3 linked regions of the Callithrix jacchus genome follow. The protein of the gene in region 3 interacts with the protein of the main gene of each other region in a pairwise test. Links are inferred from orthologs where the notes say so. Each region holds a gene or a part of one and is shown on either strand. Other genes may lie near its edges.

Region 1 (3,164 bases), on a different chromosome or scaffold from region 3:
GAGCTTCTTTTACCCCTCTGGATCCCAAGGGGTCAAAGTACAATCCCTGGGACTGGCATCCACCGGGCATCCTACTAAGTCATACTTGGCCACATAGGACCAGGTCAAGACATATACATATTCCCTAACCTAAATAGCTCTCGGCCAGGTGTGGTGGCTCTTGCCTGTAATCACTTTGGGAGGCTGAGGCAGGTGGCAACATATTAAAACCCTATCCCTAATAATACAAAAATTAGCTGGGCGTGGTGACATGCACCTTTAGTCCAGCTACTTGGGAGGCTGAGGCAGGGGAATCACCTGAACGCGGGAGGCAGAGGTTGCAGTGAGCAGAAATCACCCCACAGCATGTCAAAAAAAAAAAAAATTAGGTGCAGTGGTGGGGGCCTGTAATCCCAGCTACACAGGAGGCTGAGGCAGGACAATCACTTGAATCTAGGAGGTGGAGGTTGCAGTGGGACAAGATCATACCACTGCACTCCAGCCTGGGTGACAGAGCGAGACTCTGTCTCAGAGAAAAAAAAAAATCAGTGATTTTGTGAGAAAAGGCATTGAGGTCCTCTGAAATCTGCATGTGAGCAAGGTCTAGAACAGGTAAACATACTATCCTAAGTAATCTAGATGAAAAAGTGACCCCTTGGTTTCTTCACATTTTTCTCCAAGAGCTCAGTGAGCCAGCAGCACCTGGCCAGCAACACACCTGATACAAAATGGGAGAAGTGTATAAATTATTATGTTGGTAAGCAAGATAAATGCCAAAGGGGAGATAAGGGTGAAAGCACTGGGAACTGGCAGAGTGTAGTCAGCAGGTCAGTTCCTGGTGGTTCACTGAGTAGCTTGGCCCAAAGATGTGAGTGAAGTCCCTCCTGGTGGAGGGATGAGAGCAGCTCCGGTTACTCGGCCTTCATTACACAAGAAGTTGAAGGTGGCACAGGCATTGGGCTGCAAAGAAAAGGCCAGAATCAGCCTGTCTAGTGCCAGGCCTGTACTCCCCACAGCAGGCCCCAGTTATAGGACTCACCGTGTCCTGCACTTCCACAGCAATGCCCCGCTGCCTCATGGCTCGAAGCACCCGGGACTGCAGCCTCTCAGTCCGGTCTCCAGTCCCCACCACAACAATCTCTAGGGAAGTGAGGATGAGACTAGTCTACAATTCTGTTGAGAGGTTGGAGTGGGGGTTGCCTTTTAGGGCTCAAAGCACCTCTGCCCTGCCTCCCCTGTCCCCAGTACCTATCCGGGGCTCCAGCATCCAGAAGAGGGAAAAGCTCTCTTCGGTGATGTCCTGGTGGGATCCCACCTGTGCAGGGAGATGATTTATTCAGTACGACAAATCTACGCAGCTTCTCCCCACCTCCATCCACTACAGGAGATAGAGGAAAGCCACGTCTACAGGGACACAAGCAGGCTGAGGACCTGTGACTCTGGACCTCAGTTTCCTCACAGCGGGTCAGGACTCACGTTCCATTGCAGCAACGAATGCGGGAGCAGAGCGCAGGGCCCGAGCACGCGGTTTCCGTTTATCATGAAGCCGCGGCTGTTGTAACTGTCGATGTACATGGTCTGAAAGCCTTCGCGTTGCAGCAAAGAGATGTGCGTCCGCTGATACAGTTCGTCATCTGCTGGCGAGAGCCGATGCCCCCGTCGCGGGGCCCTGCGGAGGGAACGGGTCAGGGGCACAGGGCCGGGACGGGCCGCCCGAGAAGCCAGAAGGTGCGGGGTGGCAGTCGCCGGCCCTAGGGGGTGGGATGGTCAACAGTGAGGGGTCCAGCTCACCAGGAAAATTCAACAGGCAGACAGCGCAGCGAGGGTCTCGCTCGGTACAAGCTGCGTAGCGCAAGAGCGGTGGCCATGGCTGATCGACGCGCGGCGAAGTCGTCACTGACGCCGGTTGTTACCGGGTTGGCGGGGCCCTGCGGAGGCTGACCCAGCGCGGGTGCAGCGCCCCCTGCGTCCCGGAGTGCACGGCACAGCTCGGCCGGCCCAGCCGGCGAATATCATCTGTCCTGGGAGGAGGACAAGTCCCCCGGCCTCCGGCGCAGCTCCGATGTCATCACCTGCCCCTCGCCCCGCCCCGGGTCCTTGCCCACAGTCCCAGGGGAGTGGAACACCTGGTAGTGTGGCCGCCCTCGGCGTTGCGTGGGCCGCAGTTGCGGCCTGGACCCCCGGCTCTCAACTATTAAGCCGCGCTCCCGAGGCGGGGCAGCCACCCACCTAATCGTGAACCGAACACCTGGCCAGGCGGTCCATGCCAGACTTCGAGCCCCTAATCCTAGCCTTTGGGGCTTCAGGCACCGTGGGCGGGGCAACCAGCTCAAGTTTCTCCGGCTCACAACCGAAGCAAGTCCCGCCCTAACCGTCACCCGCGCGACCGTTGGCCTCTCAGTTGCGCGCTAGAGGGGCGTGGCCTAGCGTGGATTGGCTTATCGGGTGCTCCAGGAGGCGTGGCCAGGTGGTTTCGCCTTAAAATAGCTCCAAGTCTGCGGGCAGCCAGAGCAAGCGGAAGGGCAAGCTGTGGTAGTGTTGGGGTTGCTGCTCGGCTGGGCCAGACCGGGCAGAACCGGACCAGACTTGAAGTAGAAACGCGTGGAGCATCACCTTGTCCTCGTTCACTCTGCTCTCGTCCTGGGAGTCCCCAGTCCCCCGTCTTGAACCAAGTCAAGGGCCTACTGGCGCGAGAGTCGTTGGCGCCCGCGCGGGGATTGGGTATCTCGGCACGCTGGCTCTGTCGTGGCCCCAGGGGAACATTGTTGCGTTCGCTACTCGCGGGGCTGGGCGAGCAGGGAGCTCGGCACAGTCGGGGCCTGGTGGTGGGTCTCCTGGGGGGCGGTCGTAATAGGTTTCTGGGGGTCCCGCCGCTGCTGTGTGGGCCCCTTCGGCCCCTGGTGCTCTGGGCGCTGGCAGCGTCACTGGACAAAGAGCCCCAAGCGCGGGGGTGTCCCCGAGGCGGACGCTTGGGTTTACTTCCTCTCCAGCCCCACGGGCGCGCTTCCCTCCTGGCGGATTCCGAAGCCCGCCCCACCACCGTCACCGCACCAGTGGCCCAGGCTTCGCGGGACCAACAGGGCTAAGCCTGCCCTGCGGATCTAATCCGGATCGGGACCCGGTCCCAGGGGAGGCCCCCACCTCCCCTTCTATTGTTCTGGGGCCCAGGTGAGCGTCTTGTTCCC
Region 2 (4,522 bases), on a different chromosome or scaffold from region 3:
AGAAGTCATGATTAATTTGTTTTGGACAGTGACAAACCACAAAGGGGTAAAGCACAAGTTGCCGAATTTCACAACCAAATCATCCAGAAAAAAAAATGTGATGGACTTCAGAAACCAATATTTTTCCTAAGTCAAATTAAGTTTATAATAAGGCTAACAATTACAGGAAACAGCTTATTCCACACTAAGGAATAGCCCTTTTTCCTGCATGTTTGTACTGGTCTGATAAAAAACAGTCAAACTTCCTTGTCATTATATTGCCCATTTTAAACATACTATCTGCCATACAGAAGCAATCTTTACACTGGGAGTTGACAAGGCTAAAACTAGAGTAAGATGAGAAATGGAATAAGCCACATTACAAGGGGAAGGGGAAACAAATATAAGGAGATTTCCTCTCGGTCTCCTACATTTTAAAGTCAAACGATTACTATTTCCAACCAGAGAGAAATACACCTTGGTTAAAAATAGGGACGTAATTCAAATTTCTGGATTTGAAAAATTAAAAATTATTAAAGCAAAAAGTTAGAAACTTGGTAACAAGGAACCAGCTCTAAATTATGAAGAGAGTTTAGATCAACATAAAAGCACAAGTGAGACGCCCTTTTAAACTAAAGAAACTCCAAAGTATGCAGCTTTTTAAATAGTATACTAAGGTGAAGTATTTTCACTTTTTTTTGAATCTCCTATAGTCTCTGAATTCAACATTTCAAGAATGCAATTTAATTTTAACTAACCCTAAACATTGTCAAGGTCTATTTTCATTTTACCGTCGAAAAAGGATTCCTGCTAAACAACTGCACTCAAGAAAAAAACTTTTACCAGAAATTGTTACTAGCACTATTAAAACTTAACCAAAATATGCGAAAGAGAAAATGTTATTTTTGAAACGTCATAAACTTGTGCCAATAATTGTGTTTTCAATGTTCGAGAACACTATAGGAACACGTGATGACAAATCAAATAATCCATACTTAATTTAATATAGGTCAGATTACTGTGTATGTTTCACATTTCGTTCTGACCATTTTCATGGTTAAAAAATAACTGGCGCCCCTTAGCGCTCACATTCGGAAATACGCAATTTAAGAGTTACAGCAATTTTTTTTTTTTTTTTTTTTTTGACATTCCAGAAAGTTTTCTGCCTCCACAATCTTTCAAATGCCAACACAAATAGGAAAAGCAGAACCCCTTAAAGGGACAGCTGAAGTTTTCTCTGGAGCAACCTGAAATTAGCAGATCTGTTGTTCCAACAGTGGAAAATGCCCATTTCAATGTGGGTGAGTGCTGTACGTTTAACACACGGAAGCACAACGACCAGAAAGCCTAACACCTAACCATTTCCTACTTTTGTTTCTACGACTTTCAATACAACAAAACTCCTGGGATTTTTCTTTAACCATCTTTTTATCATGTAAACATTTCCGGCCTTTTGTTCTTTGGTGACATTCCAACTCCCCAAGCTTCAAACTCCTTTTCCCCGACTACTTTTAAAATCTCGAAATTCTTGCGAAAAACCTAAACTCCACTATTTCTTCAACCTACAGTTTTTGGTTTCCATTTTACAGTCCTCCAGTAATGCCTCTAAGCAGAAAAAGAAAAAAATCCTGGCTAGTCGATTTTCGAAACAGACATTTTTGTGTGTGGTCATTTTTTTTTTTTTCTCTAGGTGTCCGCAGAAACCCACAGCTACTAAAAATTAATACTCCAGGTCCTGCTATGAGAACTTCTTAAGGAAATTCCAGAGTTGGTCAACATTAATCTTCTTGTCATTCTTCGCTCCCCACAGAGCTCCATAAAGCTATTTGGAAACTTTGGCTCAATTTTATTTCGCCCTTTCCCAGCGTCTCGATTCCCTGTCCTGAAAACTCAGGCGGCTGCGTCCCCGAGAGCAAACCCTCCGCCCAAGTTCTTCCTAACTCAGGCAGCGCTCCGATCTGTCATCGCGGTATTTCGCTCTCCACCCCCCCCCACCCCCGAAAAGTGAAGTTCAACTCCCTAACAGTTCTCGCTTCCCCAAACAAAAGGAAAAAAAGCGCTTTTCGCCGTCACTTCGTCCTCCCTGTCGGCTACGCCAGCATTACTTTCGGTCTCCTACCGAATTTTCTTGAACGAGCCCCACGCTGACTTCCACTTACTATTTACCAGCTGCACCAATTCCCCAAGCACGAAACCCCGCTTTGGTCCTCACCCGGAGGGAGAGCTCCCGAACTCGGGGCAGCGGGGGTCCGCACCGGGCTGGTTCGGGAGACCGAGCGGAGGAGCGGGGCCCGCGCCGGGGACACGCGCGTCCTCCAGGCCGGCGGCGCGGCGTGGGCCTGCTCTCGAGAGGGCTCGGCGAGGACCACCGAGCCCGCGCGGCCCCCGCCGGCCTCTCGGAAATGTGACCGCCAAAGCTAGAGGGGCCGCAGCGTCCGCCCCGCAGCCCTCCGCACGGCACAAACTTGGGCGCCAGCAGCACTGGGTCCCGGCCGGGCGGGGGCCGTCCGGCCCCGGCGGGTCCACCCCGGCCCGCCCGCCCGCTCGCCCGCTCGCCGCCGCCAGCCGGGCCCCGCGCCTTCTTTGTGCGTCCTCCCGGCCTCCCCGTCCCCCCGGCGCGCGGTCCCGCCCGGCCGTGACCTACCCGCCCTCCCCACCATCCGGAGCGGGGAAAGGGGCTGCCCCGGCGGGGTTGGGGCCGGGGCCCGTGAGGCGCTCACCTTCGTCCAGCAGCCGCTCGAGGTGGTTGAAGATCCCGCAGAAGTTGGGCAGGCTGCTCATGAGCTTCTTGTCGTTCATCAGCTGCATCAGGTAATCTGGGGTGGGCTTCGGCTTCTCCTTCGTTTCCATTTCCCCGACCATATTCCAGGCTCCGCAGCTCACTCCGCCCGCCGCCGCCGCCGCCGCCGCCGGAGAGGAGGGAGGGGCGGGGGCGAGCCCCGGCCGCCGGCCGCTCGGGACCCGGCGTCCCGCTCCGCGCCGGCTCCCGCTCCGGCTCCCGCGCCGAGCCCCGGGGCGGCCGGCACCGCGCGCTCGCCCGCCCCCCGCAGGCACTTTCCGCCCGGGGCCGACGCGCTCCCGGCCGCCGCCGCTCTCGGCCGCCCGACTCGGCGCGTCCCTCACGAGGCCGGCGGGAGGCGGGTCTCGGCTGGCCGAGTACGGGCGCGGGGCGCGGGCCGCTGGCGCCGGACGAGGAGGAGCCGGGGCCGCCGCTAGCTCGGCTGGTCGCGCCCGCTGAGCACCGCCGCCGCCTGTGCCGCGGGCTCGGGGGTCTCTCTGGGCTGGTGCCCGCCGCGGCGCCTCTGCCGCTGCCGCTGCCGCCGCGCTCTGACTGCGCTCCTCCTCTTCCTCCTCCTCCTTCTCCTCCTCCTCCTCCTCACTCACTTGGCGGCGGAGTTCGCCTCAGTTCAGGCGGCGCTGCCAGCGGCGGCGGCGGCGGCGGCGGCGGCGGCAGGGGGGGAGGGGCGGCGGCGGGGGGAGGGCCGGGGGCGGGAGGCGGGCGGGGCCGCGCAGGGCGGCCGTTAGCGGGGCCGGGCCGGCGCGCTCCTGCAGCCCGCTGCCCGCCGCCCCCCACCCTGGCAGCCACTGGCGCCTGGCTACCTCCTCCCTGCCTCCCCGGCGGGGCGGGCGGCGGGAGCGTGACGGTCGGCGGCGCTGGGCGGGCCCGGGCCTGGGAGCAGAGGATGGGGTCGCTGCCGTGCCGGGCGCCCGGGGTGCGTGGGTGTGGGTTGCAAGGCTGTCGGCCACAGGGTGCGGGGTACGCGGGGCTTTCCACGGCAGGGGGCGGGCGGGGCCGCGGGCGCGGTCGTGGCCCCAGCGGCGGGCGAGAGGAATCCCAGCGGGACGCGCCAACGGTGCCTCCGCCTCGCTCCTCGTTACTATAGTTCTTTCAAAACCTCTCATCCACCCCGCAGAAGAGAAATTTTTTTAACGTCCTGTTGCTTCACGGGGGACTTTCGGGGTGGGCGTCACGTGGCCCGACACGTAGCTGTGGGGCTCCAGAGCGCGTGCGCGCGTCGAGGCTGGTGGCCACGCCCATCCTGAGGGTCGCTCCGCCCCCGCCGGGCCCCGCCAGCGCGCGGTGGGGGAGGCGCGTGGCCCGGAGTGCGCCTGCGTGGGGCGGGGGCGGGGGCGGGGCTGGGGGCGGCAGCCGCCTAGGGTCTGAGTCTGGCGGTTTTGACCGGGGCCCAGGCGCGTCGCCCACCGTGCGGAGGGCTGGTCGGCCTGCACTGGCAGTCCGGCCTGACGCGGCGCGGGTCTCGGCTGCGGGGGGCGGGGGGTGCGGAGGACAGGAGTTTGAGGCTTTCTGAGGCGCGCGCCCCGGCGTCCGCCTCTGCGGGACTCTGCGCGGGGCGCCCTCGGTCGGCGCGCCGGGCTCCGGCTTCGTCGCCGAGGGAACCACGCGCGACGCCCCTCTCGTCGCCGCCGTGGCTCCCTTCGGTATTCGTGATTTGTTGGGAGGCTGGAAAGCAGCACGGCGGAAAGGAGCCTAGCGCTCCCCAGGCGGGAAGCCTGCGCGGACACGCGTGCGCACCACCGGGGC
Region 3 (3,808 bases):
AAGGGGCAGAGATGGAAAGGGGCAGTCGGGGAAGGGGCAGAGATGGAAAGGGGCAGTCGGGGAAGGGGCAGAGATGGAAAGGGGCAGTCGGGGAAGGGGCAGAGATGGAAAGGGGCAGTCGGGGAAGGGGCAGAGATGGAAAGGTACAGTCGGGGAAGGGGCAGAGATGGAAAGGGGCAGTCGGGGAAGGGGCAGAGATGGAAAGGGGCAGTCGGGGAAGGGGCAGAGATGGAAAGGGGCAGTCGGGGAAGGGGCAGAGATGGAAAGGGGCAGTCGGGGAAGGGGCGGAGATGGAAAGGGGCAGTCGGGGAAGGGGCGGAGATGGAAAGGTACAGTCGGGGAAGGGGCGGAGATGGAAAGGGGCAGTCGGGGAAGGGGCGGAGATGGAAAGGGGCAGTCGGGGAAGGGGCGGAGATGGAAAGGGGCAGTCGGGGAAGGGGCGGAGATGGAAAGGGGCAGTCGGGGAAGGGGCAGAGATGGAAAGGGGCAGTCGGGGAAGGGGCGGAGATGGAAAGGGGCAGTCGGGGAAGGGGCGGAGATGGAAAGGGGCAGTCGGGGAAGGGGCGGAGATGGAAAGGGGCAGTCGGGGAAGGGGCGGAGATGGAAAGGGGCAGTCAGGGAAGGGGCAGGAAGAAACGTGTGGTAGGCCGGGCGCGGGGGCTCACACCTATGATCCCAGCAGTTTGAGACCAGCCTGGGCAACACGGTGCTACCCGCTCCCTACTAAAAATACAAATTTTAGCTGGGTCTGGTGGTAGGCACCTGTAATCCCAGCTACTAGAGAGGCTGAGGGAGGAGAACTGCTTGAACCTGGGAGAAGTTGCAGTGAGCCCAGACTGTACCACTGCCCTCCAGCCTGGGCGACAGAGTAAGAATCTGTCCCAAAAAATATAAACAAATACAAATGAGGGCAGAGATGGCAAGGGACACTCAGGGCAGGTGCAGAACGAAACGCATGGCAGCCAGGGGAAGAGGGAAGACCGCAGATGGCAGGCAGCACAGACAGGGGCTGGAGTCACAATCTGAAGTGGAAAGTGGACAGAAAGCTGCGTGCAGTGAAGACTGCAGAGAGAGGTTAACAACAGGAGCCCACAGTAATCGGACGCCATAGGTGACGTGGAGAAAGTGTGAGTGGCAGTGAACAGAGCACAACTCAGTCAGAGCCAGAGCCACAGACAAAAGCCAGAGAGACACAGAGGATCAGAGACCCAAGGAGTGGGCCCGGTTCGTCTATCTTTTCTTTCTTTCTTTCTTTTTTTTTTTTTGAGACAGAGTCTTGCTTTGTTGTCCAGGCTGGAGTGCAGTGGTGTGATCTTGGCTCACTGCAACCCCCACCTCCTGGGTTCAAGCAATTCTCCTGCTTCACCCTCCCAAGTAGCTGGGATTACAGGTGCCTGCCATCATGCCAGTTAATTTTTGTATTTTTAGTAGAGATGGGGTTTCACTGTGTCGGCCAGGCTGGTCTTGAACTCCTGACCTCGTGATCCAACCGCCTCGGCCTCCCAAAGTGCTGGGATTACAAGTGTGAGCCACCATGCCCGGCCTTGTCCATCTTTTCTTTTGTACTTAGTGCTCTTTGTATTCTGTTTAGAAAACAGGATGTTTCCACTTTTCATGCCCTCACCAAGGTCATGAAGACATTTTCCTGTTTTCTTCTAGAAACTTCATTGTGTGAGGGCCAGGTGCAGTGGCTCAAGCCTGTAATCCCAGCACTTCGGGAAGCTGAGGTGGGCAGATCACTTGAGGCCAGGAGTTCAAGACCAGCCTGGCAAACATGGTGAAACCCTGTCTCTACTAAAAAAACAAACAAAAAAACAAAAAATTAGCATGGCATGGTGGCACCCACCAGTTGTCCCACTTACTTACTAGGGAGGCTGAGGCAGGAGAATCACTTGAACCTAGGAGGCTGAGGTTGCAGTGAGCCAAAATCATGCCACTGTACTCCAGCTTGAGCAGTAGGACCGAAACTCCGTCTCAAAATAATAATAATTAATAAATACGTAATAAAACTGATTTTTTCCACATTGCCCTTATACCCAGTGACCTTTCTAAACCAATCTTAACAGTTGCTTAGTAGATACTTGGATTTTCTACATGCACAATGACTTAAAAGACAGGATGAGCATGATGGCTCATCCCTGTAATCCCAGCACTTTGGGAGGCCAAGGCGAGCAGATCAAGAGGTCAGGAGTTCAAGACCAGCCTGGCCAATACGGTTAAACCCCATCTCTACTAAAAATATAAAAATTAGTCAGGTGTGGTGGCACATGCCTGTACTCCCAGCTACTTGGGAGCCTGAGGCAGGAGAACTGCTTAAACCTGAGGTGGCGGTTGCAGTGAGCTGAGATCACGCCACTGCACTACAGCCTGGGCAACAGAGTGAGACTCCATCTCAACAACAACAAAAAGACACAGGCAACAAAATCAAGGCCAAGGAGACAGCGATACCAAGACGTAGCCAGGAAGAAAGAAAGACACTGAGAAACAGTCACACGGGAACAGGCGTTCTGAGTGGAGATAGTATCATCTAGGGGCTCAACACAGGCGTTCTGAGTGGAGATAGTATCATCTAGGGGCTCAACACCCCCCAAAGAGAGACGGACACATAATCTCTATAAGGGAATGGAAAGGAGGGGTCTGAAGCCCCACGGGGAGAACTCTCCCCACCCTGTCCCAAAGCCAGTCCATGTGGCTAAGGAAAGCCTGTCAGTAGGAGGGTTGGTCTGCTGGCCCTGGCTTACCGGGACAGGCCCCTGCACAGCTCCCACCACGGGGGCAGCTGCCCCGCCCTGCACAGCCTTCTTGGCAGCTGGTGTCTCCTGGCTCTTGGGCTTTCTCTTCTCCCGCTTGCGATCCCGCTCCACAAAGGTGCCTTTCATCTTGGCAATGATATCTGAGTCGGTCTTGGCATACTGGATACGCTACCAAACAGAGAGCAGAATGGGTTAAGGGCATGGATTCAGAGCCCAATTGCCAAGATTCAAAATTGGACCTTATCAGGGGCCAGGAGGTCGAGACCAGTTTGACCAACATGGCAAAATCCCATTTCCATCCAAAATACAAAAATTAGCTGGGCATGGTGGTATACACCTGTATTCCCAGCTACTCAGGAGACTGAGGTAGGAGAATAACTTGAACCCAGGAGGTTGCAGTGAGCCGAGATCACACCACTGCACTCCAGCCTGGGCAACAGAGCAAGACTGTCTCAAAAAAAAAAAAAGCCAGGCAATGGTGGCTCACAACGGTAACACTTTGACAGGCTGAGGTGCAGGCGGATCACCTGAGGTCGGGAGTTCAAGACCAGCCTGACTAACATGGAGAAACCCTGTCTCTACTAAAAATAAAAAAAAATTAGCCAGGTATGGTGGCACATACCTGTAATCAAGACCAAACTAACCAACTTGGAGAAACCCTCTCTGAACTAAAAATTAAAAAAATTAGCCAGGTGTGATGGCACACACCTGTAATCCCAGCTACTTGGAAGGCTGAGGCAGGAGAATCACTTGAACTTGGGAAGTGAAGGTTGCAGTGAGCCGAGATCATGCCATTGCACTCCAGCCTGGGCAACAATAGCAAAACAACATCCCCCCACCCCCCCCAAAAAAGTGCTGGAATTACAGGCATGAGCCACGGTGCCCAGCCAAACAAAAATTTGTTATTGAAATGAGGCAAGGTGCAGTGGAGCTTGGTCCAGCCTCACCTTGGCCAATTAACCCTCATATCCCCTCCTCTACTCCAGGCCCACCCAGTCTCCTATAACATTTCACACACCCACACCCACACCCTGCCTCCATACCCACAATACTCA

The links.
Region 1: the proteins of SNRPA (region 3) and NDUFAF3 interact in binary tests that used the Homo sapiens proteins (3 or more experiments, as listed by UniProt). The two-hybrid records come from large-scale screens. The link is inferred for Callithrix jacchus from reciprocal best matches to the Homo sapiens genes SNRPA and NDUFAF3.
Region 2: the proteins of SNRPA (region 3) and QKI interact in binary tests that used the Homo sapiens proteins (3 or more experiments, as listed by UniProt). The link is inferred for Callithrix jacchus from reciprocal best matches to the Homo sapiens genes SNRPA and QKI.

The regions. Positions count from the first base shown.
Region 1 is NC_133516.1:31,650,922-31,654,085, reverse strand, and holds NDUFAF3 (NADH dehydrogenase [ubiquinone] 1 alpha subcomplex assembly factor 3), read right to left. Parts: upstream 1,872-3,164; 5' UTR 1,848-1,871; coding exon 1,771-1,847; intron 1,649-1,770; coding exon 1,456-1,648; intron 1,295-1,455; coding exon 1,228-1,294; intron 1,120-1,227; coding exon 1,019-1,119; intron 940-1,018; coding exon 823-939; 3' UTR 709-822; downstream 1-708. UniProt on the Homo sapiens protein: Essential factor for the assembly of mitochondrial NADH:ubiquinone oxidoreductase complex (complex I).
Region 2 is NC_133505.1:169,958,082-169,962,603, reverse strand, and holds the start of QKI (KH domain-containing RNA-binding protein QKI), read right to left. Parts: upstream 3,009-4,522; 5' UTR 2,842-3,008; coding exon 2,700-2,841; intron 2,537-2,699; exon of another isoform or gene 2,192-2,536; intron 1-2,191. UniProt on the Homo sapiens protein: RNA reader protein, which recognizes and binds specific RNAs, thereby regulating RNA metabolic processes, such as pre-mRNA splicing, circular RNA (circRNA) formation, mRNA export, mRNA stability and/or translation.
Region 3 is NC_133523.1:36,300,133-36,303,940, reverse strand, and holds part of SNRPA (U1 small nuclear ribonucleoprotein A), read right to left. Parts: intron 2,922-3,808; coding exon 2,742-2,921; intron 1-2,741. UniProt on the Homo sapiens protein: Component of the spliceosomal U1 snRNP, which is essential for recognition of the pre-mRNA 5' splice-site and the subsequent assembly of the spliceosome. U1 snRNP is the first snRNP to interact with pre-mRNA.